Diceros bicornis minor: one gene and its partners. The protein of the gene in region 1 purifies or fractionates together with the protein of each later gene. This does not show direct contact. Links are inferred from orthologs where the notes say so. Each region holds a gene or a part of one and is shown in the gene's direction. Other genes may lie near its edges.

Evidence for each region. The genes of interacting proteins can lie anywhere in the genome.
Region 2: the proteins of NOP56 (region 1) and BRIX1 purify together in Homo sapiens (affinity purification with mass spectrometry; 3 studies listed by BioGRID and IntAct, with this or other methods). This does not show direct contact. The link is inferred for Diceros bicornis minor from reciprocal best matches to the Homo sapiens genes NOP56 and BRIX1.
Region 3: the proteins of NOP56 (region 1) and NOP2 fractionate together in Homo sapiens (co-fractionation; 3 studies listed by BioGRID and IntAct, with this or other methods). This does not show direct contact. The link is inferred for Diceros bicornis minor from reciprocal best matches to the Homo sapiens genes NOP56 and NOP2.

The regions. Positions count from the first base shown.
Region 1 is NC_080758.1:31,200,174-31,207,296, forward strand, and holds the start of NOP56 (nucleolar protein 56), read left to right. Parts: upstream 1-4,115; 5' UTR 4,116-4,155; coding exon 4,156-4,158; intron 4,159-4,300; coding exon 4,301-4,390; intron 4,391-4,751; coding exon 4,752-4,866; intron 4,867-5,389; exon of another isoform or gene 5,390-5,457; intron 5,458-5,614; coding exon 5,615-5,776; intron 5,777-5,952; coding exon 5,953-6,151; intron 6,152-6,264; exon of another isoform or gene 6,265-6,396; intron 6,397-6,523; coding exon 6,524-6,711; intron 6,712-6,792; coding exon 6,793-6,944; intron 6,945-7,123. UniProt on the Homo sapiens protein: Involved in the early to middle stages of 60S ribosomal subunit biogenesis. Required for the biogenesis of box C/D snoRNAs such U3, U8 and U14 snoRNAs. Part of the small subunit (SSU) processome, first precursor of the small eukaryotic ribosomal subunit.
Region 2 is NC_080759.1:34,114,029-34,121,265, reverse strand, and holds the start of BRIX1 (ribosome biogenesis protein BRX1 homolog), read left to right. Parts: upstream 1-4,229; 5' UTR 4,230-4,272; coding exon 4,273-4,431; intron 4,432-4,458; exon of another isoform or gene 4,459-4,548; intron 4,549-7,237. Other genes in the region: cell cycle checkpoint protein RAD1, read right to left, coding at 515-773, 2,128-2,236, 3,211-3,405. UniProt on the Homo sapiens protein: Required for biogenesis of the 60S ribosomal subunit.
Region 3 is NC_080756.1:55,119,298-55,126,666, forward strand, and holds the start of NOP2 (probable 28S rRNA (cytosine(4447)-C(5))-methyltransferase), read left to right. Parts: upstream 1-4,361; 5' UTR 4,362-4,467; intron 4,468-4,702; 5' UTR 4,703-4,706; coding exon 4,707-4,809; intron 4,810-6,135; coding exon 6,136-6,181; intron 6,182-6,359; coding exon 6,360-6,448; intron 6,449-6,613; coding exon 6,614-6,864; intron 6,865-7,369. Other genes in the region: CHD4 (chromodomain-helicase-DNA-binding protein 4), read left to right, coding at 1,594-1,789, 2,521-2,684, 2,857-2,874. UniProt on the Homo sapiens protein: S-adenosyl-L-methionine-dependent methyltransferase that specifically methylates the C(5) position of cytosine 4447 in 28S rRNA. Required for efficient rRNA processing and 60S ribosomal subunit biogenesis.

The DNA.
Region 1 (7,123 bases):
ACGTCTCTTAATTGCTCTTTCACCTTTTTACCTCTCTTTGTTGCATTCTGGATAAATTATTTCATTATATCTTCCAGTTCACTAATATTCTCTTCAGCCTTGCCTAATTTGCTAATGAGTCATTGCATTTCTTCTAAATTTCAACAATGAGTTTTTTATTTCTACAAGTATCATATCTGTTCATTTCTGCCCTGCTCCCCTGACCATGGCACAGATGAAGCTGCATGCCTCGAAAACAGACACTGACAATCTTTTTCTGTAAAGGGTCTAGTAAATATTTTAGACTGTTATTTACTCTGTCACATATTATTTTTCTACAACCCTTTAAAAATGTAGAAATCATTCTTAGCTCTTGGGCCCTACAAAAATAAGCCACAGGCCAGATTTGGCCCATGGGTCACAGTTTGCTGACCACTGCTGTAGAGGTCCCACACTCCACCCAATGCAATGGTCAATACAGCATAGTATTCATGAGGGAAGTGTGAGATCAAAAGTCCCTCTGGTAATGAGCCTGGTCCTCCCAGCCTATATATGGCAGGCAGGTGATCACAAAGATTATGTATGCACCATTGAGGCACACCATGTATGCCTCAATGAGGAAACACATGGGTGCCACATGGCATGGAACCAGTAGACACCTGAAGTAAGGAGACTGAGATGTCAGTGATTTTGAGCATCTGGCTGAGATCAGCAAGTCTGAGGATACAGTGCACAGGCCTAGGGACCAGTCCAAAGCAGCCATGTTACAGCAGAGATTAATGGGGTCCCAGACACAGCACTAGAACCTGAGCACAAAGACCCGAGATATCCCCCCGCCCCTTCCCCCTACAACTAGGCTGTGAGAGCGCTCTCACATAAACCCTGGTGCCATTTTGAAAAGAGCAGAAGAAGACAGAGGAAATCTAAAAGACTTAGCAACATTGTTTAAAACAGAAACAACTGAGATACCAATAACTGTCAAGTTTACACACTGAGTATATTTTCCAGGTTCCAACATTAAATCAGGGTGACAGTAAACTGTCGATCTACTGCCACTGGAAATTGAAAAGTGGAATGCACAACTGTTTTACCATGTGAAACTAAGCTGTGTTTAGAGACGATCTGCCTACATGTGTAAGTTAATGGCTAAAGTGATAGAAATGAATCAGGGTAGCTGGGTGTATCAAATTGGGGTTCTAGTAGGTTCTATGGGAGGTGATAGGAGAACTGGAACGAAACCGAGAATAGGTAAAATGAAATGTTGTTGTGCTACTTATTGATAAAGGGGACAAAAGAACAAGATGAAAGACCACTAACATTTGTTGAGTTCCTACTACATGCCAGGTACCACACCTGTGTCACACCTGGTAGATGTTCAATAAAATGTTTGTTGCAGAGATGAAGAATCCTCACTCTTCATTCTGCAGAAGAAATGAAAGCTCAGGAAGATTAGGTGATTAACTTAAGGTCACCTGAACCCAGGTTTGCTGACTCTGATTCATGTTTACCACTGCTTAACAAATCATCCTGAAATTTAGTGACTTAAAACCACAATATTTATATTTCTCACAATGCTGTGGGTAGATGGGGCTCAACTAGGTGGTTCTTCTGCTAGTCTTATTTGGGGTCACTCATGTGGCTGTAGTCCGATGGTGGCAAGGGCTGGAACACACAAAATGCCTTTACCCAGGTCTTCTTTCTTGACAGGGACAGCTGGAAAGCCGGACCTCTCCATCAAGTCTCAGGGCCTTTCCTTCTCTATGTGGTCTGTCCAGCAGAGTAGCTGAACTTCTTATAAGGCAACTCGAGGGCTCCCAAGAATGCAAAAGGCTGAGGCCTGGAAATGGCACAGAATCACTTCTGTCGCGTTCTATTGGCAAAAAAGAGTCACAGGCCCAGCCCAGTTCATTGTGGGAGGAGACTATACAAGGACCTAATACCAGGAGGAAGGGGTCATTGGTGGTCATCTTTGGAGACTAGCTACCGCAGGTGATCCTGGGACACCAAGCCCTTAATCTTCCCATTACTTCATGCCACGATGAACACCCACAAATAGAACATGACTAGATACTCTGCCTTAGAGAGATCATTCTGGCAGTGGAGAGAAAGGTGTTTTGGAGAAGGGGAAACCAAAGGTTTTGCAAAAGTCCTGAATTAGGTAGGATGGTGGTGGTGGTGGTGGTCAAGACCTGAACCTAGGCAGGAAAAGTGAACCTAGCAAATAGGCCAAAAAGAAGGAAGATATGGTCTCTAACACGACGCACTACAGATGGCCCATTCTGGGCAGGCAGGATTATGAAGTATCGGGGAGACAGTTTAGTCAAGAGATGGAGGTGAGGAAGCCAAAGGAATATTTTTAGTGTTTACACCATGTCCCTATCTAATCATAAGTGTTTGTATCTCACTAACTGAAGTGCACTTTTCTTCGGCCACCCCTCTAAGCTAGCAAACTGCTTCAGCACAGCTCCTTTATAACCAGAAGACTCAAATCTACTCAAAGTACCACTGTGGTGACTCTCAGGCTTTTTGTATTTAATCCACAAAAATCTGCATTTACATAATTTACTTATATACTACATATATTTGTATCCATATTTCTCCATGTATACATGTGTATATTTATACATACATGTATACATATGTAAGTTTGGCTGAGACAAAAGTTTCACAAATCAATACCCCTCCTCACTCTATGTGACATATTATTATTTCCTATTCTCTTTCATCCTATGTTTTTAATGCCAGCCAAGAATGTCTAAAGTCACTCTACAAGCCATTAATAGACTCCAACTTCTCCTTTGAAAACTGCTATCTTAGTAGATAAGCCCCTGTAATCCCAGGAATATTTAAGATTAAGTATAGAAATAATGAAGTAAATCAAAGTCACAGCATTAATATTTTCCATTACATTTTGGAATCACCTAATTTGGTATTTATAAAACAGAATTTAACATACTGATGTATATAATAGATTAGTTTTGCAATTCAATTTTAAAATGTGGAGTAACTGATTCAGACTCAAGGTTATAAGTGGATATATGTAACAGAATGTAACCACATTTGTAAGCAATACTCAGATTATGCGTTTAAGATTTACCAACCATCTTTTTTAAGATATTATGTTTTAAAAGTGAGCTCAGTACTTGGATTTTGTTTGTCAAGTAACTTAATTGCTTAAGAAAATAAAATATATTAAATTTATAAATGCACTTCAGTTATGGGAATTTAAGTTTAAAACCACCCCCTTAAAATGACTTTAATTTACCAGCATGTATACTACTTTAGGATAACCAAGTTTTGGATTTGCAAAGGTAATTTCAAAATAGTCGCCTGAGTGCCCAAAAGCCTCCCTCTAGGACATGGAAGCAGCTCCGATCCATTCGGAGCCAACTGGGTGTTAAGAGGCGAGCAACACGTGGCCCCGCAAAGGAGCTGGGTTCTGCTGAAGCAGGGGAACGAGAAACCGACCTGGGAGGAGGCGGGATCGTCTTCCTTTTCTACTTTGTCTCCGGCCACCCTCAGTTTTAAAAATAAGTAAAATACAATGTAACAGTACGAAGCCAGCCACCAAGAGTCACGATTCCTCAGGGTCTGCGCCAGAGCGCCCCAGGCTCCGCTTCCGTCCCAGAGAGGAAGAAAAAGCGCGCGGCCACAGGGCTCCTGGGAGGGTCGTCCCCGACTGGGAAGCGGGGACAAAGGGGTTCCGGGAGCGTGGGGAGGATGGAGGGGTCTGGGGCCCCAGGTCACAGCTCTGCGGAAAGCCGGGTGGGCAACAGTTTCTGCCGGGGGATGGTCGCCGCGGCCAGCGCGGGGCCTCCCGCCCGGGTGTCACCGAGCTCTGCTGCCCGTAATTTATATGACGAAAACATGAGGGATTGGACTATTATTCAGAAAAGCGCCTTTCCAAACCATTCTGCGGCCTGCAGGAAGAGACCAGTCCCGCGCGTCCCCGGTAAGCGCGCCCACGCCGCAGCAGAGGCCGGAAGAGGCCAGCCCGCGCGCCCGCCACCCCCGCTCCGGGCCATACCACCCCGGCGGATTCCCCCTCCGAAGGCCCGGAAAGGTATCGCCCCCGGCCTCTGATTGGCCGACGGCGCGGGGGCGTGGCCTACGGAGCCTGGTTCCGCGCGCCAGAGCCCGCTCGCCGCATTGCGAGCCGGGCCAGGAGCAGGCGCCATGGTGAGGAGTGGTTGCGCGTTTTGGGGGAGGCGAAGGCCGCGGTGCGGGCCTGGTTGCGGGCCAGGGCCGGGTCCTACCCTGCGAGCGGGGCCAGGTGAACGGGGAGGCCGCGCTGACGCTCGCGCCCCGGCTCCGGTTCCAGGTACTGCTGCACGTGCTGTTCGAGCACGCGGTCGGCTACGCGCTGCTGGCACTGAAGGAGGTGGAGGAGATCAGCCTGCTGTTGCCGCAGGTGGGTGAAGTGGGGGCCTCGCCGTCCGCGCTGCAGCCCCTCCGGCCGCGGGTACCCCAGCATGCACCGCGCGCTCCCACGTGGCTGGCCGCGCGTTGTGGGTGCTCTGGGCCAGACAACTCCAGAGCAGGGGGTAGTTAGCTGCAGTCGTGATTAGAATCTCGTTAGGAGCGCTTAGAAGTAAGTCTCCCCAACTCCACTCCGTACCGATGAAGCAGAACCGGGACTTAGGGCCCATGATCGGTTCATTTTTAAAGAGTTCCGTTGGTTCTGATGTGCGTTCAAGGCTGAGAACCGCTGCTTTACTGCGCCCTAGAGGCAACAGCGAGGGAAGGAGACCATTCATCCTTTCTCCCCCCAGGTGGAGGAGTGCGTGCTCAACTTGGGCAAGTTCCACAACATCGTTCGTCTCGTGGCCTTTTGTCCCTTTGCCTCATCCCAGGTTGCCTTGGAAAATGCCAACGCTGTGTCTGAAGGTGAGTAGGCCACCACCAAGTATTGTTTCGGAGATAAAGTCAAGATAAGGGATCCTGCTACTGTTTTCCTAGGGGAGCTTGTGATGATATTTGCTTTCCTTGGCTGGATTGTTCTAAATCTGACATGTGCTGGGCGGTATTTAATGTGTACAGAATGTATTTGAATCTTCACAGAGCTCAAGGTCTGGGGAATATGGTAGGCTAAATGTAATAATTAAAGCGCACAATCCAGGGTGAAGGCTTTATTTCCCTGTGGGCGCTGTAGTGATAAATGATACTTAAATGAAATCTGGTAAGTGAGGCTGGTTTAATGCTAAACCCAATCAACTGTGGTTTTCTGCTACTTTGTTCAGTTGATTGGAAAGGGCAATTCTGATACATAAAAGCCAAGAAAAAGAGGTTGGTCCCAGAAGGCAAATCAGGTATTACTTTCATAGTGCTCCAGGGTGTTTTAAGCTTTCAGTTATGTATTTCACTGAGCTGTTGAACCTGAGTCCTGTTCCTCCCATAGTTGATGAAGGCTTTGCAGTGATGACTTGAGTCTGTCAATCCCCTGAGTGCAATCACTGATGTCTCCATGTCTCTGAGCAAAGCCTGAAGGGGAGGGGTCTAGGCAGGCCATCCCAGCATGCTCTGGGAGACTACTGTAGGATCAGTCTGTCACTTAAATCAATTGAGGGGACAGGATCCCTTTTATGATTCAAGCATCCTTCAGCTTGGTAGTGGGAGCTCTGTTCTTTGCCCTGAGGTGTTGTTCATGAGGATCTCCGCCTGCTCTTGGAGACTCACCTACCATCCAAAAAGAAGAAAGTTCTCTTGGGGGTTGGGGACCCCAAGATTGGTGCTGCTATACAAGAAGAGTTAGGATACAACTGCCAGACTGGAGGCGTGATAGCCGAGATCCTGCGAGGTGAGACCGTCATCTGTTAGCATTCATGCCATTGTTCACATCTTTGAGGGGGGTTCTGGAAATTTATTTTAGGGTGCTTATGGTTGCTTCTGGGAAGCCCTCCTGCTTGGCTGGTGCCCGTGGGTGCAGAAGCTAGCTGAGAGCCCTTTTTTGCTCACAGTCTTGCCCTCCTCCAGGAGTTCGTCTGCACTTCCACAACCTGGTGAAGGGTCTGACTGATGTGTCTGCTTGTAAAGCCCAGCTGGGCCTGGGACACAGCTATTCTCGTGCCAAAGTTAAGTTTAATGTGAACCGGGTGGACAATATGATTATCCAGTCCATTAGTCTCCTGGACCAATTGGATAAGGACATCAATACCTTCTCCATGCGTGTCAGGTAAAGTGCAGGGGCACCTCCTGAGAATGGGGTCTTTGGCTTGTGGTTTAGCTAATTTGGAATCCTGAGATCAGGACTGGCTCCTGTGGGTGTAACCATGTGGGGTGGGGCTGGGCCTCCTGATGCTTACCACAGGCTGTGTTCTTACACTGACTGTATAGAAAGAGGAGGCAGAGTGAACCCACCCCATATACACCTCAGCCCAGGCCCTTTGCTTGGTCTGTATTGTGAATGGGGGGACAAGGAGTTGAGGTTTTGAATCTTGACTTCTTCCCCATTTCCTCCAGGCAAAGAGTAGATGTGGAGAGGGCTAAGGCTGTAGCTTTATTTGAGATGGCAGCTGAGCCAGGGAGTGATTGTGGTTCTCTGCAGGGAGTGGTATGGGTATCACTTTCCTGAGCTGGTGAAGATCATCAATGACAATGCTACGTACTGCCGCCTTGCTCAGTTCATTGGAAACCGAAGGGAGTTGAATGAAGAAAAGCTGGAGAAGCTGGAGGAGCTGACAATGGATGGGGCCAAAGCTAAGGCTATTCTGGATGCCTCACGGTCCTCCATGGGTCAGTATAGGGTCTGGCAGCCAAAATAAGGTATGGGGCTCTGAGTATCTGACTCCTGCATTCACACTTGGTGTCCCTTAGGCATGGACATATCGGCCATTGACTTGATAAACATCGAGAGCTTCTCCAGTCGTGTGGTGTCTTTGTCAGAGTACCGCCAGAGCCTACACACTTACCTGCGATCCAAGATGAGCCAAGTAGCCCCCAGCCTGTCAGCCCTCATTGGGGAAGCGGTGCGTCACGGGGAATGCAAAAATGGGGGATTGAGGAATATTACCGTGTATATCCAAACCTGCTGTATTTCCTGACCCACCATAACTTCCCCTGATTGCACTTGATGGGAAGAGGTGAAGCAGGGTTATGCAGTTGGTGGGCTGGCAATTCTAGCTTCTCTAATTCCTTGAATCCTTCT
Region 2 (7,237 bases), on another chromosome or scaffold:
GTCAAGCCATGCTGTGGCGGCATGCCATATAAAGTAGAGGAAGATGGGCATGGATGTTAGTCCAGGGCCAATCTTCCTCAGCATTAAACAAAAGGGAGGATTGGCATCGGATATTAGCACAGGGCTGATCTTCCTCACAAAAAAGAAAAAGAAAAAGAAAAAGAAAAAGAAAAAGAGATACATACCACATAATACAAACAACTTTTCCAAAAGTTTAAGCCCAGTTTTCCTCATGACATAACCTGATCTACAATAGTAAGTAATACAACAATGAAAAGACCACTGGTTTCTGAATCAGGAGCCTGGGCTACTCATCTACACTACCTGATGATGAAGCTTTAAATAGTGAGTTAATCTTCCTGGGTCCTAAGTTTCCTGATCTGTAAAAGTAGGAGGTAAGAGTAAAAGCTCTCTAATGTTCTGAAAATTCCAGGAACCTGGATAATAAAAGTTCCGCATCCTAAGCAAATGTGTAAGTAGTACATTAACTATAATTGCTCTGCGTTCAAATTACCTGAAATAAGGCTTGTCAGGAGACATGGTGATCTGCAGGACCTCACTCGTCATATCCAATTCGGAAAATGCTTCACGGAGCCCCTCTGACTGCAGGATAACTTTATTGATGACATTAGTGCTGCAGAAATCAAAATCCAGAGTCTCTTCAGGCTCCTGAGTATTGATTTTACAGACTGTCACCACTCCTCCTTCCTCCAGAAATAGCATCAAAGGGTAACCATAACCTTGGTAACACATCCGAAGTGCAGTAAAAGTCCCTGCGATGGAAATAAATCATACTCTGGGCTTAACTTTACAGCTCTGGGTTCACCTTCTCCTCAAACGATATATAAAAGTCCTCCAGAATATTTTATTCTGCCCAATTTCTAGCATATACGTATGTATCTCCTTATAAGAAGGGTCACATCTTCCCTGATGACACCGTGTGTAGATAATTCCAAAAATAACTGCAAGAAAATTGGGAACCAAAACAAAATGTAATCTTTGAAATCATTTTCCAGCTTGCCAAAAACACCTCAGAAATAGCTTATTGATTTTATATATATACAATTTAGGATAAACAATCTACATGGACCATTACTGCAAGTAATGGAATTGGTGCAGAATAGGCTATGCTACTTCTGGAAGGCTCAATTTGTGCAACAGTCGATTGCTCTGATATTGTCTGTACTTTAATGTCAGTATATTCACCATGATAAGGATCCTTCCAACCTTTTCTATTGGAAGATATTCTTTACATTTCCTCAAATTTTAAGATCAAATTGGGAGAAAAAGAGAGGGTGATTAAGGGTGGTGTGGGTTTTAACATTGCAGACCACTAGAGAGGAGGAGGAATATGACAGGATAGTCTAGATCTTTTCCCTTCCTGGATGGAGAGCTACAGTGACGAATGGGGGAAGAAAGATGCTTTTATGAAAAACTAGTTGGGGAACACTGCATTAGAAAATGTATAATTAATAAGAATGGAATCGTAATATTTTCTAGAGAACAAAAACTGAATTTTCCCTAGCTAATTTCCAGCTTTCTTTCCTATGAAGTAAAATCACTCTCCTGGGGATTCCTTGTAGTTTTATATCAATAGCAACTGAATTCACTATTCAAAAAAATCCCTAAACAAATATATAAATATTTTAAAGGAAAGCATTTAGGAAAATACCTATAATTTATAAACAGGGCTTAAAAAAAAAGCAAACAAATTTTGAACACAGTAAACTGCAAGTCAGGAGAACTGGTTTCAATTTTTCTCTGTCACTAACTGTGTAATTCTGGACAAGTCAGGAAAAAGAAGCAATTTAAAACATATTTCACATTCTTAAAGATATTTACATGTTCAAAGTCTTCTTTTGGTCAGTTTAAATTTAAAAATCCCAAAAGCTTTGTAAATTAAAAAAAGATGAATGTAAATATTTTTGCAAATATGAAAAGAGCCACAAGCACACTTTCTACTAACATTGTGAAAAGTCAGAATCCGTGATTTTGACCAATGAAAAATGAATTGACAATTTTCTAAACAATTGTTTAGATTACTTATTTCCAATAACTTTTCCTGTATTTTTCTGACCATTCTGTATAATGCTTTTATATCATTATAATGATAATAAAATGGTTCACCTGGCGTAGGATTTGATCCAAAAATAGATAAGCAGTCTAAAAGGACAGTTAAATTAATTCGAAAAGTAACAGACTCTTCCTGAACCGTAAACTCTTGAAATATTCCAGCCTATGAAAAAAAGGAAACATGAAAATGTAGTTATAGATATTAAAGAATGAAAACTCAAAGTTCTAGATTTCACTTGATATGTTTTAAAAATAACAATATTGTGCTAACCCTGTGAAAGTCATTTCTGATTACCAGTCAAAACATCTTAAGCCTTTTCAACCATTATCCATTAGAATATGTACTACTACTCAATAGTTAGAGATGTAACAGTGGTTTAGGTCTCATGTAAAACTTTATGAGGGGTCCTTCACCTAGCTTCTCGGATCTCAACCATTGCCCACATGACTCTCCTTTTTGTGCCCATCAGTATGGCTAAGGTCACTTGGTAAATAGCCAAACAATTTGATAACGCATGAGTGATATTAGTTTTCAATTTCTTTTAAGGACAGGAACCATATCTTATTTATCCCTCTATACCCAAGGTCATACTGTGCACTTAAGTATTCAAAAAAATGCTGAATTAAATCTGAAATCCATCTGAACCATACAAATCTTTGTTTGTAAGAACAGATTGTATTATAACCAATAAAAGGAAAAATTTTTTGATAATAGGGAGGTAGTGCTAAAGAGTATATACTCTGGAAACAAATGTTCTGGGTTCTCATCCCAACCCAGTCACTTGCTAGCTGTGAGACTGTTGGCAAATCATTTAATCTGTGCCTAAGTTTCCACATATGCAAAATGGGAATTATAACGGAACCTACCTCATAGGACTATTATTGAGAATTAAATGAGTTAAACATATAAAACACTCAGAAGGGTGCCTGGCCTATAGTTTAGCTTAATACATTTTAGACATAATAACCATTATCTCTGTAAAACAGGATGGGAAATGAATTTGTTACCAGGAGAGAAAAAGATTCAAATGATATATTGTTCTCTAACTTAAATGATGTCCAGTAAGACCTTTGGAATTCATTAAACTGGGTGAAGAATATCATATGTCACAGGCTTACAGGTGCCTCCTTCCATACCTGAATAAAAGCATTTGCTTGCACACACTTTGCATTTTCCACTGTAACCTTGATTCCATTTTTAGTAGCGAAACAGGTGGCATGGTCCCGGAAATGAATAGCCTTCAAGATAGTGGAGAGATTCCTAACGTTGTCAAGGCTGGCCACTAAGCTGTAGTCATTCTCATCTTGGATCTGTTGCGTTAGGAGGGGCATCGTCCACTGTACATTCGGGCCCGAGGGATGCTCCTGGTGCCAACACCTGCTCCCGCAGATCACGAAACACCTGATGAGATTCGACAATAAAACCCCCATGAAGGCTGGCGAGGCCCGCGATTGCAACCTGCGCTGAGGCCAAGTGGGAGAGGTCTGAACGTTGAACTCGGCCGACCAGAGATTGAACCCCACCTCTGCCACCTAACTGCCCCTGTTAACTTTGGGGCAAGTTACTTATCTCTCTAAGCTACAGTGTCCTCGTCTTTAGTAAGGGGACAATAACACATGAAAAGTTGTGAACAATGGAAATAGGCAACTAATACGGTAGTTCTACTTGGGGCCAGTTTCGCCACGCCAAACTGGGGCTACGTATCCCCCCGAGTCGGTTTTGAGCTGTCCGGCGCCCCCAACCTCGCCTCTAACAGAATACGCGATGGGGGGGCGGGCCCCGATTACACAGAAGATCCTCCTTGAGTCCCAGACAACCCTGCTCAAGAGCCCGCTGCAAGGCGGCATGTTTACTGGTCCCGGGATCCCGGGGCACGGAGACCCTACCTTTGCGGTGGAGTCTGGATGCCTGAAAGCCCTTCCGGGCCAGGTCACCGAGAAACCGAGCTCCCGGGAAACCCAGGAGGAAGTGCAGCGCCTCCCGCCACTCTTTTCAGATCGGCCAGCCACCTCGGCCACCGTCACCATAGAGCTAGACGAGGCCTAGAGAGCCGAGCGTACAGCACCACAGAGACCGGAAAGAGACACCATAGAGCTGAAGGACGACCGCAGAGCCGAGCGTACGGTGCCATAGAGATCGGGAAGGGGAGCGAGCGGCAGAGCCGGAAGGAAGGCCCGGAGAGAAGGGCTTGAGGCAAGATGGCGGCGGCCAAGAGGAAGCGGCGTGGAGGCCTGGCGGTTCAGGCGAAGAAGCCAAAAAGAAACGAAAAAGATGCCACGCCGCCAGCTAAGCGGCGCGATATGGCAGAGGAGACGGAGGAGGAAGACAGAGACCGTTTCCCAGGCCCCGTTTGCAAGGTAGAGAGGGCCACCCTCGGGTTACACCTGCGGCCGCGGCTCCACGCGCCTTGCCTGGGGCCCCATGCCTGATTACGGCTCTGCTGATTTCGGAGTTGCCTCAGTGTTAGGGAGCTCGGTCTCAGTTCTCCTAGTTGGATTGGCCCCCGCGTTTACATCCAATCTTCGTGCACGTGGCCGCTTTCCTGGAGGCGGCTGGCTGAGCAACGGGGCGGGCTTCAGAGCGCTTATCGGCTCACAGGGAAGCAACGTAGGGGGTACTCAGTTCCAGTGTTCTGTCTTCTAGTTACCTTTTTTTTTCCTTTTGAGGGCATTACTTTTCCTTAAAGTTATTTCTCGCTATTGGATATATTTCTTCCAGTGATTAGTATCGTCAGTCAGGGATCTTGAAGCTTTGTTAGGCGGTTCTTTAAAAAGTTGCTGTCCTTGGGACAGTGACTTCGGCTTGTTTGAGCAGGTCTTTAACTCTCAAGTGATAATGAAAGCTAGACTAGATAGCACGAGCTCTCGTTGTAGTCAACAAACTTTTAATGTGCCAGGCACTATACGAAGTTAGGTTTGCTCTGGCTCTGGGATTGCAAACTAGAACGTCACCTTTTCCTTCTGAAATGTCGGAGTTTAGAAGGAAGCTAAGAATTCACATAAGTCGATGGTTTTTATTCAAGAGAAGGTGGACGCAAGTTACTGTACCTAAGTTTCATTCAACTGAAAGCACCTTAAGCTAGATCGAATACGGTGGAGACAAGGATGACCTTAATTTGTTAATTTCTGTGTGCCCCGCGCTTGGCATAGTACTGTAGCACATAGTAGATGGTAAATCAATGACCCTGTGTGGTGTGGTGGCAAGCACTAGGAAAGGAGCCAGTTCTGAGGATTGAAAGATGAGTTTAAATTCTAGCCCTGCTGTTAATTAACAGTGATATTTCGAGCTCTTTTCTCATCTGCAAATTAAGAGAAAAACGTGATTTACTTTTTGTGAAGAAGAAGCTGGACTTCTAGTAAATTTTCAGTAAGTGTTAGTGCTCTCACTCTTCCCATAAGGAGTTAGAAAGAAATATGATAGTATCCATGATTTGAGTCTTAATATGAGAAATTCTATGGAAGTGCAGAAGATGGAGATTACTTTTACCCTAGAATAATCAGGTAAGGGATCATGAGGGATTTACCCTTTGAACTGGATCTCAAAGTAAGGGCAGAATTTCGATATTCAGAAATGAGAGAGAACAATACAAGGGAGAGGGAAAAAAAACGAGTAGAATGTGTTGGAGTGGAGGAAGTGCTGACAATCTAAAAAATAGAGCCAGATTGGCTCAAGTGTAGGGTTGATTTGGGGCAATGGCGAGGTAAAAACATAAATGTATTTTAGAATCCATTGTTAAAGCTATGTCATTTTGGAGTTTGTTTAGAAAACCCTGGCAGGTTAAGGATGTGATTGGAGCAGTGCTGTAAAAAGATTAAGCTGGTGCTAGTCTGCCATATCTATTGGAGGAGTTCCTGTTTGGGAAGGCTAGCTATTTAGGAGATTTAAGATTATATGGATCTGAGGGAGGGCACTGCGAGTATGAAAGGATTAAGAGTTGTTGCAAAGAGGGGCCGGCCAGGTGGCGCAGGCGGTTAAGTGTGCGCGCTCTGCTGTGGGGGCCCGGGGTTCGCTGGCCCGGATCCCGGGCGCGCAGCGACGCACCGCTTGGCAAGCTATGCTGTGGTGGCGTCCCATATAAAGTGGAGGAAGATGGGCACAGACGTTAGCCCAGAGCCAGTCTTCCTCAGCAAAAAGGAGGATTATCAGATGTTAGCTCAGGGCTGATCTTCCTCACCAAAAAAAAAAAAAAAGAGTTCTTGCAAAGAGAAATTGACACATTGACACAATGATATGGGAGAACAAGGGCAAATGAAAGATTCAACGCCTGGGGGCCTGAAATGAGGAAATGAGGGTAACATCTTCAGAAAAAGAAATAGTAAACAAATTTACTGGATTTAAGGTTTGGTATTCTAGAATTGAATTTGAGGTGTTAAGTCAAATACTTGGATTATTAGTGCTGGAGGGAGTTCCTTACCTTTCTGTAGAGTTATTTGAAGCTATGGAAATGATTGTGAGAACTGTCCTGGAGAGAACAGAAATAAAAGAAGGCTCAGAAAGAATCTTTAGAGTCAGAAGGAGGAATTGGAGAGATTGAAGAAGAAAAACCAAAAAGGAAGGAAGTCAAGGAGAGCATTTCTGGGTGGCAGCCATGGTCAGTGAATACTACTGAGAGTTTAAAGGGGTCAGGATTGTTTGGCTTGCTACCTGGAGGCTTTTTATGAAGCTATTGTGTCTCTCTGCTTACCTTATATAAAAGGAGTTAATTTTTCCATAGGTGGTGTTATTTCATTAGAACCAAGAGCTATTTTTAGCTTGCTGCTTCTTTAGATAAGGAATCTAAATTTTGTCTATAACATAAGATAAAATGGAGACTTTTAAAAGTTTCCTTCCTTGCGTCATCACATGATATTTTGCCACTTATGTCCTATGTGACAGACATGTTGTGGTTGTCTAAATAAAGGTTTCATGCTGTTCATGCCTCCATGTCTGTATTGATTTGCTTGTTTGTTGACTATCTTCCCACATAAGGACAGTGCCTGGCTCCTGTAGGAACCTAGTAAATATTAAATTAATATTAAAGTTCTGTTGTGCAAGGATTATTGAATGAGTAGTCCATTCTGATTTCAGGAGTGGAAAGATTCTCTGTAGAGTGAAACATCTCAGTTCCCCGAATTACACCATGGGGGAAGAGGCAGAGTTATAGCTATGGTCTTGATACACTAG
Region 3 (7,369 bases), on another chromosome or scaffold:
GGCAGATGTTAGCTCAGGGCCGATCCTCCTCACAAAAAAAAAAAAAAAATAGAGGAAGACTGGCAACAGATGTTAGCTCAGGGCAAGTCTTCCTCAGCAAAAAAATAAATAATGGAGGAGTCTTACTATTTAACTTTGAAAACATTAGATATGTATATATAGTAGTTTCCCCTAATCCATGGGGAATATGTTCCAAGAACATCCGGTGGATGCCTGAACCCACGGATAGTACCAAACCCTATATATACCATGTTTTTTTCCTATAATACATACCTGTGATAAAGTTTAATTAATTAATTAAGGTTTTTTTTTGTGAGGAAGATCAGCCATGAGCTAACATCCATGCTAATCCTCTCTTTGCTGAGGAAGACCGGCTCTGAGCCAACATCTATTGCCAATCTTCCTCCTCTTTTTCTCCAAAGCCCCAGTAGATAGTTGTATGTCATAGTTGCACATCCTTCTAGTTGCTGTATGTGGGACGCAGCCTCAGCATGGCTGGAGAAGCGGTGTGTCGGTGTGCGCCCGGGATCCAAACCTGGGCCGCCAGTAGCGGAGCATGCGCACTTAACTGCCAAGCCACGGGGCCGGCCCAGTTTAATTTATAAATTAGGCACAGTAAGAGATTAGCAACAATAATATTAAAGTTGGCTGTGGGGCCATTATTAAGTAAAATAAGGGTTACTTGAACACAATCACTGTGATACTGTGACAGTCAATCTGATAACCGAGATGACTACTAAGTAACTAATAGGCAGGTAGCCTATACAGCATGGATAAGCTGGACAAAGGAATGATTCACGTCCTGGGACGGACAGAGTGGGACGGTGCAAGATTTCATCATGCTACTCAGAACAGTGTGCAATTTAAAACGTGAATTGTTTATTTCTGGAATTTTCCATTTAATATTTTTGGACCGCAGTTGACTCTGAGTAACTGAAACTTTGGAAAGCAAAACCGCGGATAAGGAGGGGGACTACTGTAGAATGATCTCAATTATGTAAAATTTGTGATTTTAATTGTTTATATATTCTGTATTTTCTAAATTGAGTTTTTATCATTTTTGTATGAGTGAATCAATAAAGGGTAAAGAGTTTTATTTTTTTAAGTTTTATTTATTTATGTTTTTGTGAGGAAGATCAGCCCTGAGCTAACATCCATGCTAATCCTCCTCTTTTTGCTGAGGAAGACCGGCTCTCAGCTAACATCTGTTGCCAATCCTCCTCCTTTTTTGTGTTTCCCCAAAGCCCCAGTAGATAGTTGTATGCCTTAGCTGCACATCCTTCTAGTTGGTGTATGTGGGATGCCGCCTCAGCGTGGCCAGAGAAGTGGTGCATCGCTGTGCGCCCGGGATCCGAACCCGGGCCGCCAGTAGCGGAGCGTGCGCACTTAACAGCTAAGCCACGGGGCCGGCCCAGGGTAAAGAGTTTTAAAAACGTAGACCTTGAAAGGAGAGTAAAGAAGGCAATGCAATGTTGAACTGCTTGGGTTTGGGGGAGCCATCTGTAAGGTTCTTTATAGGTTCTGAGAGGCCCATCAGAAATAAGCAAAGTGAGTGTCAGTTCATCTCCCATTTCCTCTTTATCCCTTGTCCAGCTCTTAGAACAAGCCCTGGTGATTGAGGAACAGCTGCGCCGGGCAGCTTACCTGAACATGTCAGAGGACCCCTCTCACCCTTCCATGGCCCTAAACACCCGCTTTGCTGAGGTGGAGTGTTTGGCGGAGAGTCATCAGCACCTGTCCAAGGAGTCAATGGCAGGAAACAAGCCAGCCAATGCAGTCCTGCACAAAGGTAGCCAGTGGCTCCCCTGCCTCCTGCTGACTCAGCCTCCTTCTTCCTCTACCCCTCCCCAACACATTGGCTTCTTGTTTCCAAACCTTTTTCAGAGCCCCTTTGGGAGTTTAGCCTTCCTCCTTGGGAAGCTAATGTCTTAGAGGCAATCGAGGACAGTAGTTCTTTGCCTCTTTCAACTCTTAATATATTCAAGTTGTTGGAGGTGGAAAGCAAAGCAGAATAATATAGTGTTATCTGGGATACTTCAGAGGTAACTTCAGGTGATTTAAGATCCTGTCAAATTCTAGACCCTTTTCAACATTTTTTTTTCTGATTAAAGTTAAAACATTGTGAGAGAGGTGGAGGGTGAAGTGAGGAAAGGAAGACTGTTATAAAGGAAGAGGGAGACACCTCGAAAAGGTGGAGAAGAAAGATAGAAAAGGAAATAATAGGAATAAGCGTGTCTCAGGAAGTAGAGAAAATAGAGACAGTTGGGAGCAAGGGACAGTGAGGGTTAGGTGACTTTAAGAAGCATAGAAGCATGGCCAGTTGGAACTAGAATGTGAGGAATAGGAATTTGAGCATGGTAGAGGCCAGGTCACGTGACGCAGTGACAAAAGACAATACTTGAGCATTCCAGCACATCAGTCCCTTGGTCAATGAGAAGTGATGGGGGCCAGGGGTCCACTGGTAAGAAGGATCTTGGTCTTGACCACCACAGCTCACCACTTTTTTTTTTTCCTGTGCAGTTCTGAAACAGCTAGAAGAACTGCTGAGTGACATGAAAGCCGATGTGACTCGACTCCCAGCTACTATTGCCCGAATTCCCCCAGTTGCTGTGAGGCTACAGATGTCAGAGCGTAACATTCTTAGCCGCCTGGCAAACCGAGCACCTGAACCTACTCCACAGCAGGTAGGACCGTTTTCTTCTGGCCAGCTGTTCGAGCAGAGCCACTGTTACTTTGCTGTCTGTCCCTAGCTTTACATACTGGACAGGTGGGGCTGTGTCACCACTGAGTTCCCGTAGGATCAGGTGGATTCCTGTGGTCTGGCATTCTGACTCCCTTGGCTCTCTTTTCCTGTAGGTAGCCCAGCAGCAGTGAAGATCAGACTGATGATACCACCTCCACCGCTGAGCAGTGACCTTCCTCACTTTCCCTTGCCCAGCTTCTCACCTGGGGGCCTGAGAGACCCTCTCCTTCCTCCTGCCCCATCTTCCATGTTGTAAAGGAACAGCCCCCAGTGCACTGGGGGAGGGGAGGGAGTGAGGGGCAGTGGTGCCCTTCCTGCTGGAGAGACATGCAGCAGTAGCGCCGGCGCCATCTGCAGGGAGCTGGCGGGCTGGCCGCCTTCTGGGCCCTGGCTTCTCCCTACTGTAACGTCTGTTACACACAAACTGTTGTGGGTCCCGCCAGGCTTGAAGAAAATGATCTGAATTTCTTTCTCCTTTTGGTTTTATTTTGTTGGTTTACTTTGTGTTTCCTTTTCTCCTTTTTTGGGGTATTCAGAGTGGGCCGGGCCCCTGGGCGAGACACAGCTACCTCTGTTGGCATCTTTTTAATACCAGGAACCCAGCGGCTCCAGCCACTGAGCAGCTAGAATAAAATAAAGTGAAAAAAAAAAAAAAAGGAAAAGAACCAAAAGCGTAAAAAACCACAGCAAATTTCTTGATGAAAACTGAAAATAAAAGTTTCCTTGTATTTTAGTGCTCTGGTTCGGTGTGGGTGTAGGTTCAGGTGGATGAGTGTGCATGACAGGAGCCCTGGGAAATGTGCAGCTGAGAACCAGGGGCTACTTGTGTTCTAATAGTCCACAAGAGACCGTGTCACGTCTGCACGTGCCCGCTGTGCTCTGGACCAAGGATGACCAGCATCTGGGGGAATGAGCGGCTCCCACACCACCCGGGCTCGTGCCCTGTACTACCGGCCAACGGCTCTGTACCGTTGAGGAAGTGAACTCTGGGCTGTGGATTTCTCATGTATAAAATAAAGCTATCTTCCTCATAGAGTTGTGAAGATAAAACCAGTAAAGTGCTTGGAACAGTTTCTAACAGCTACTAAGCACTGTTAGTATTTATTTGAAGGAAGGCTGAAGTTTTATCTAGTTGTGTGAAACTAGGATGTGAGGTGTCTTCCGACCTCCAGCTGTGCACCTAGGCAGAGAGGAACCCTACCCGACGGGCAGAGCGGTGGTCTGGGTCAAAGAGGGCTTCCCAATTGAAGGGATCGGGGTGGGAGAGCGGCGTGGGATTCCAGGACTCCGAGACTGGGCGGAGCGCGGACACTGCCAAGAGGAGGGCCCCGATCTCACGCCTTGGTTTGAGGGGAGGGGCGGCTCTCAGGTTCCAGTTACTCCGATTGAAATCTGCAGTGAGGCGAAAAGCCAACGCCTTGAGGGAGGAGCAGGGAAGCGCAAAACGGTTCCGTCCCGGTTCCTTTCGCCGCCCTCTGCGACTGTGAACGGAGCGGTCCGTCTCCAAATCTTCCCCGGCCGCGCTGCCGACAGCCCCGCGCGCGTTCCGGGTTCCGCGCCCGACCAGAAGCGGCCGGAAGAGGCGGGGCCACCAGTGAAGCGAGCTCTGCGCGCCTGCGCGAAGCGTTTCCGTGGAGTGCGGCGCCCGAACGCTAGCCTCGCGGTGCACGTGGAGTGCTGCCCCGCGTACCCAGGAGGCGTCTGGGGCCTGGACCCGCCTTCGGGTGAGCCGAGGCTTCGGGTGGTTCTGGAGGAAGTCGGGGAAGGAAGGGTGACTGCACTGACCTGGACTGGGGCGTGGGGAGGGACGCAGGGTCCGGGGCTCCGCGTGGAGGGGGTTTGGTTAGGCCTCGAGGGCTGGTTGACCGGATGCGCTTTCCCACCGTAATGCGCTAAGTCTGCGGTGTGCCTTTCCCTTTCCAACACGCGCGACTCTGCTCCCATTTTTCGTTTCCCCAGTACCATGGGGCGCAAGTTGGACCCTACGAAGGAGAAGCGCGGGCCGGGCCGAAAGGCCCGGAAGCAGAAAGGTGCCGAGACTGAACTCGCCAGATTCTTGCCTGCAGGTAAGGGTCAGGCCTGCCTCCTCCCCATTCTCCAGCTTTTGTGCCATCTTTTCATCTGTATGATAACCCCGTCCGTTCTTTAGTTTTTGTTCACCTTCTGCTCAAGTGGAATTTCGTTTGTATGAGTTATTAGGAAATAGGCGTGAATGAAACACTCACTGTCATCAGCCAGAACTTAGGGAAGATGTGACAGGGACACAAGAACCCATGCAAGGAGAGGCCCGCTTTAACATTGAGGGAGTTCAGAGGAAGGGGGATCCCATGCAGTTAGAGAATTTAAAAAGATTTTGTTATGAAGTTAGGTTTTGAAAAATGGCTGACATTTTAGCAAGTGGAAGTTGGGAAGGGGACTCCAGGCCAGTCGCTGTGAGCTGCATTGTGGAGGGGATGGAGGTGGGAAAGCACAGAGCTGGTTCCCACATGGTGAGTAGGCTACTGCTTGGAACACTGGGTAAGAGAGAAGCATGGACAGGTAGTTTGTGTTGGGCATTGGACAAAAGATGCAGTTTATTGCAGTACTAACCTGTGCTAGGCACTATACCGGACTCTTTGGACACATCATATCACTTCATTCTCTTAGTTTCCTGTGGGAGAGGCACTGTTAAGGCAACGGATGTTGAGAGGTTAAATGACCTGCATATAGTTATTAAGTGACAGGGCTGAGATTTAAACCTTTTATTTCTTGGAGAATGTTTGAAAAACAGCAATCATAAAGGTAAAATCTACTGTGGCTAGTGACTGATTAAATTGAGAGTAAAGGAAAAGGCAGAAGAAAAGATAAATTTTGAGTCTGTGTTATCAGAATGGTGATGATGCTATTTATTGCAATCAGAAGTGTGGAGGTGGGGCCGGTCGGTGGCGAAGCGGTTAAGTTCCCGTGCTTTGGCAGCCCAGGGTTCGCCGGTTTGGATCCTGGGCATGGACCTAGGCACCGCTCATCAAACCATGCTGAGGCAGAGTCCCACATAGAACAACTAGAAGGATGTACAACTGTGACGTACAACTACCTATTGGGGCTTTGGGGAGAAAAAAGGAAAAAAGGAAGAAGATGGGCAATAGATGTTAGCTCAGGGCCAGCCTTCGTCAAAGAAAAAAAAAAAAGTAGTCTGGAAGGAGGCCCAATTTGGATTTGGTTGGTGAACAACCAGATGGAGATCATCTCCTTTACATCTCTTATCCAGCTCCTGGTAAAACACTGTGGAGTGAGTTGCAGTCTACTCCCTTTAATTACTGTACTTATTTCTCCCCACTTTTATTTTCTCTCCTGTTGCTCTTTTTCATTTCACCTGTAACCTCCTGTTCTGCCTCTTTTTTATGTTTTAACAGCTGGTGATGAAAATTCCAAGAGGCTGTCTAGTCGTGCTCGGAAGAGGTGAGTGAGGATGTCTAGACTTATATCGAGTCAACTGGTGCTGCTCTTCCTAAGCCACATGAATCCATGTGATCATGTTGATGGAAAGGGCTGTTTGGGGACTGTCATGTTTCCCTGTCATGAGAAATGGCAGAGCTTGGAGATATGTTCCATTTTCTCACTCCTTGTATCTTTTCAGAGCAGTCAAGAGGAAGTTGGGCTCTGCTGAAGTCCCTAAGATGAATAAGTCTTCTGGGATCAAACCATTGCCTGGAAAGCTACCAAAAGGTCAGTGAAAATAGGAGCTGGGTGCTACATGAGGAACCCTCTGGGTCCTGGGTAGAGAAGGGCCTGCTAAATGAAAGGAACAGCCAAAGGACTTTCTTGGGGGTAGAAAATACAGGCTCTATCAGTGTGTGACTGCCATCAGTCCAGAATTCTTCAAACCTTTAGGGATCTTTGCAAGAGCTGTCCAGACACCTGGTAAGAAGGGAGCCCAGTCCTTATTAAATACTGCTCAAGGCAAGAAGCGCCCAGCACCAACCCATAGCAGTGAGGAGGAAGAGGAGGAGGAAGACTCTGAAGAGGATGGTGTGGTGAACCAGGGGGACCTCTGGGGCTCCGAGGACAGCGACGCTGATATGATAGATGACTGTGGAGCTGACTCCAACTCAGAGGATGACAATGAGGATGAAGGTGAAGAGGTGAGATTTATCTGTTCAGGAAGGAAGCCTTGCCTTTTAGTCTTTCCAGATCCTTGAGACTATGCCTCAGTGACAAGGATAAGCCTGAGTAGAGAAGATATTTTAGTGTTCCATCACTGCTTTCCTATCATCTTATGGCCTCTCAGTGTACATGCAAGTTTAAAAGAGCTGTAGAATAGAGCATTTTAAAATATGAGAATGCTCAGTGCTGGTGAGGATGTGGTAAGGTGGACACTTGTATGCCCCACTGATGGGAATAGAAATGCACACACGTGTTTTATAAAGCATTTGGCGTCTGAGGACCTTGAAAAGTTTCTTCTTTTTAACCTAGTAATTCTTTTTTTTTTTTTTTTTTAATGAGGAAGATCAGCCCTGAGCTAACATCTATTGCCAATCCTCCTCCTCCTTTTTTTTTCCCCCCTCTTCTCCCCAAAGCCGCAGTAGATAGTTGTGTGTCATAGCTGCACATCCTTCTAGTTGCTGTATGTGGGACGCCACTTCAGCA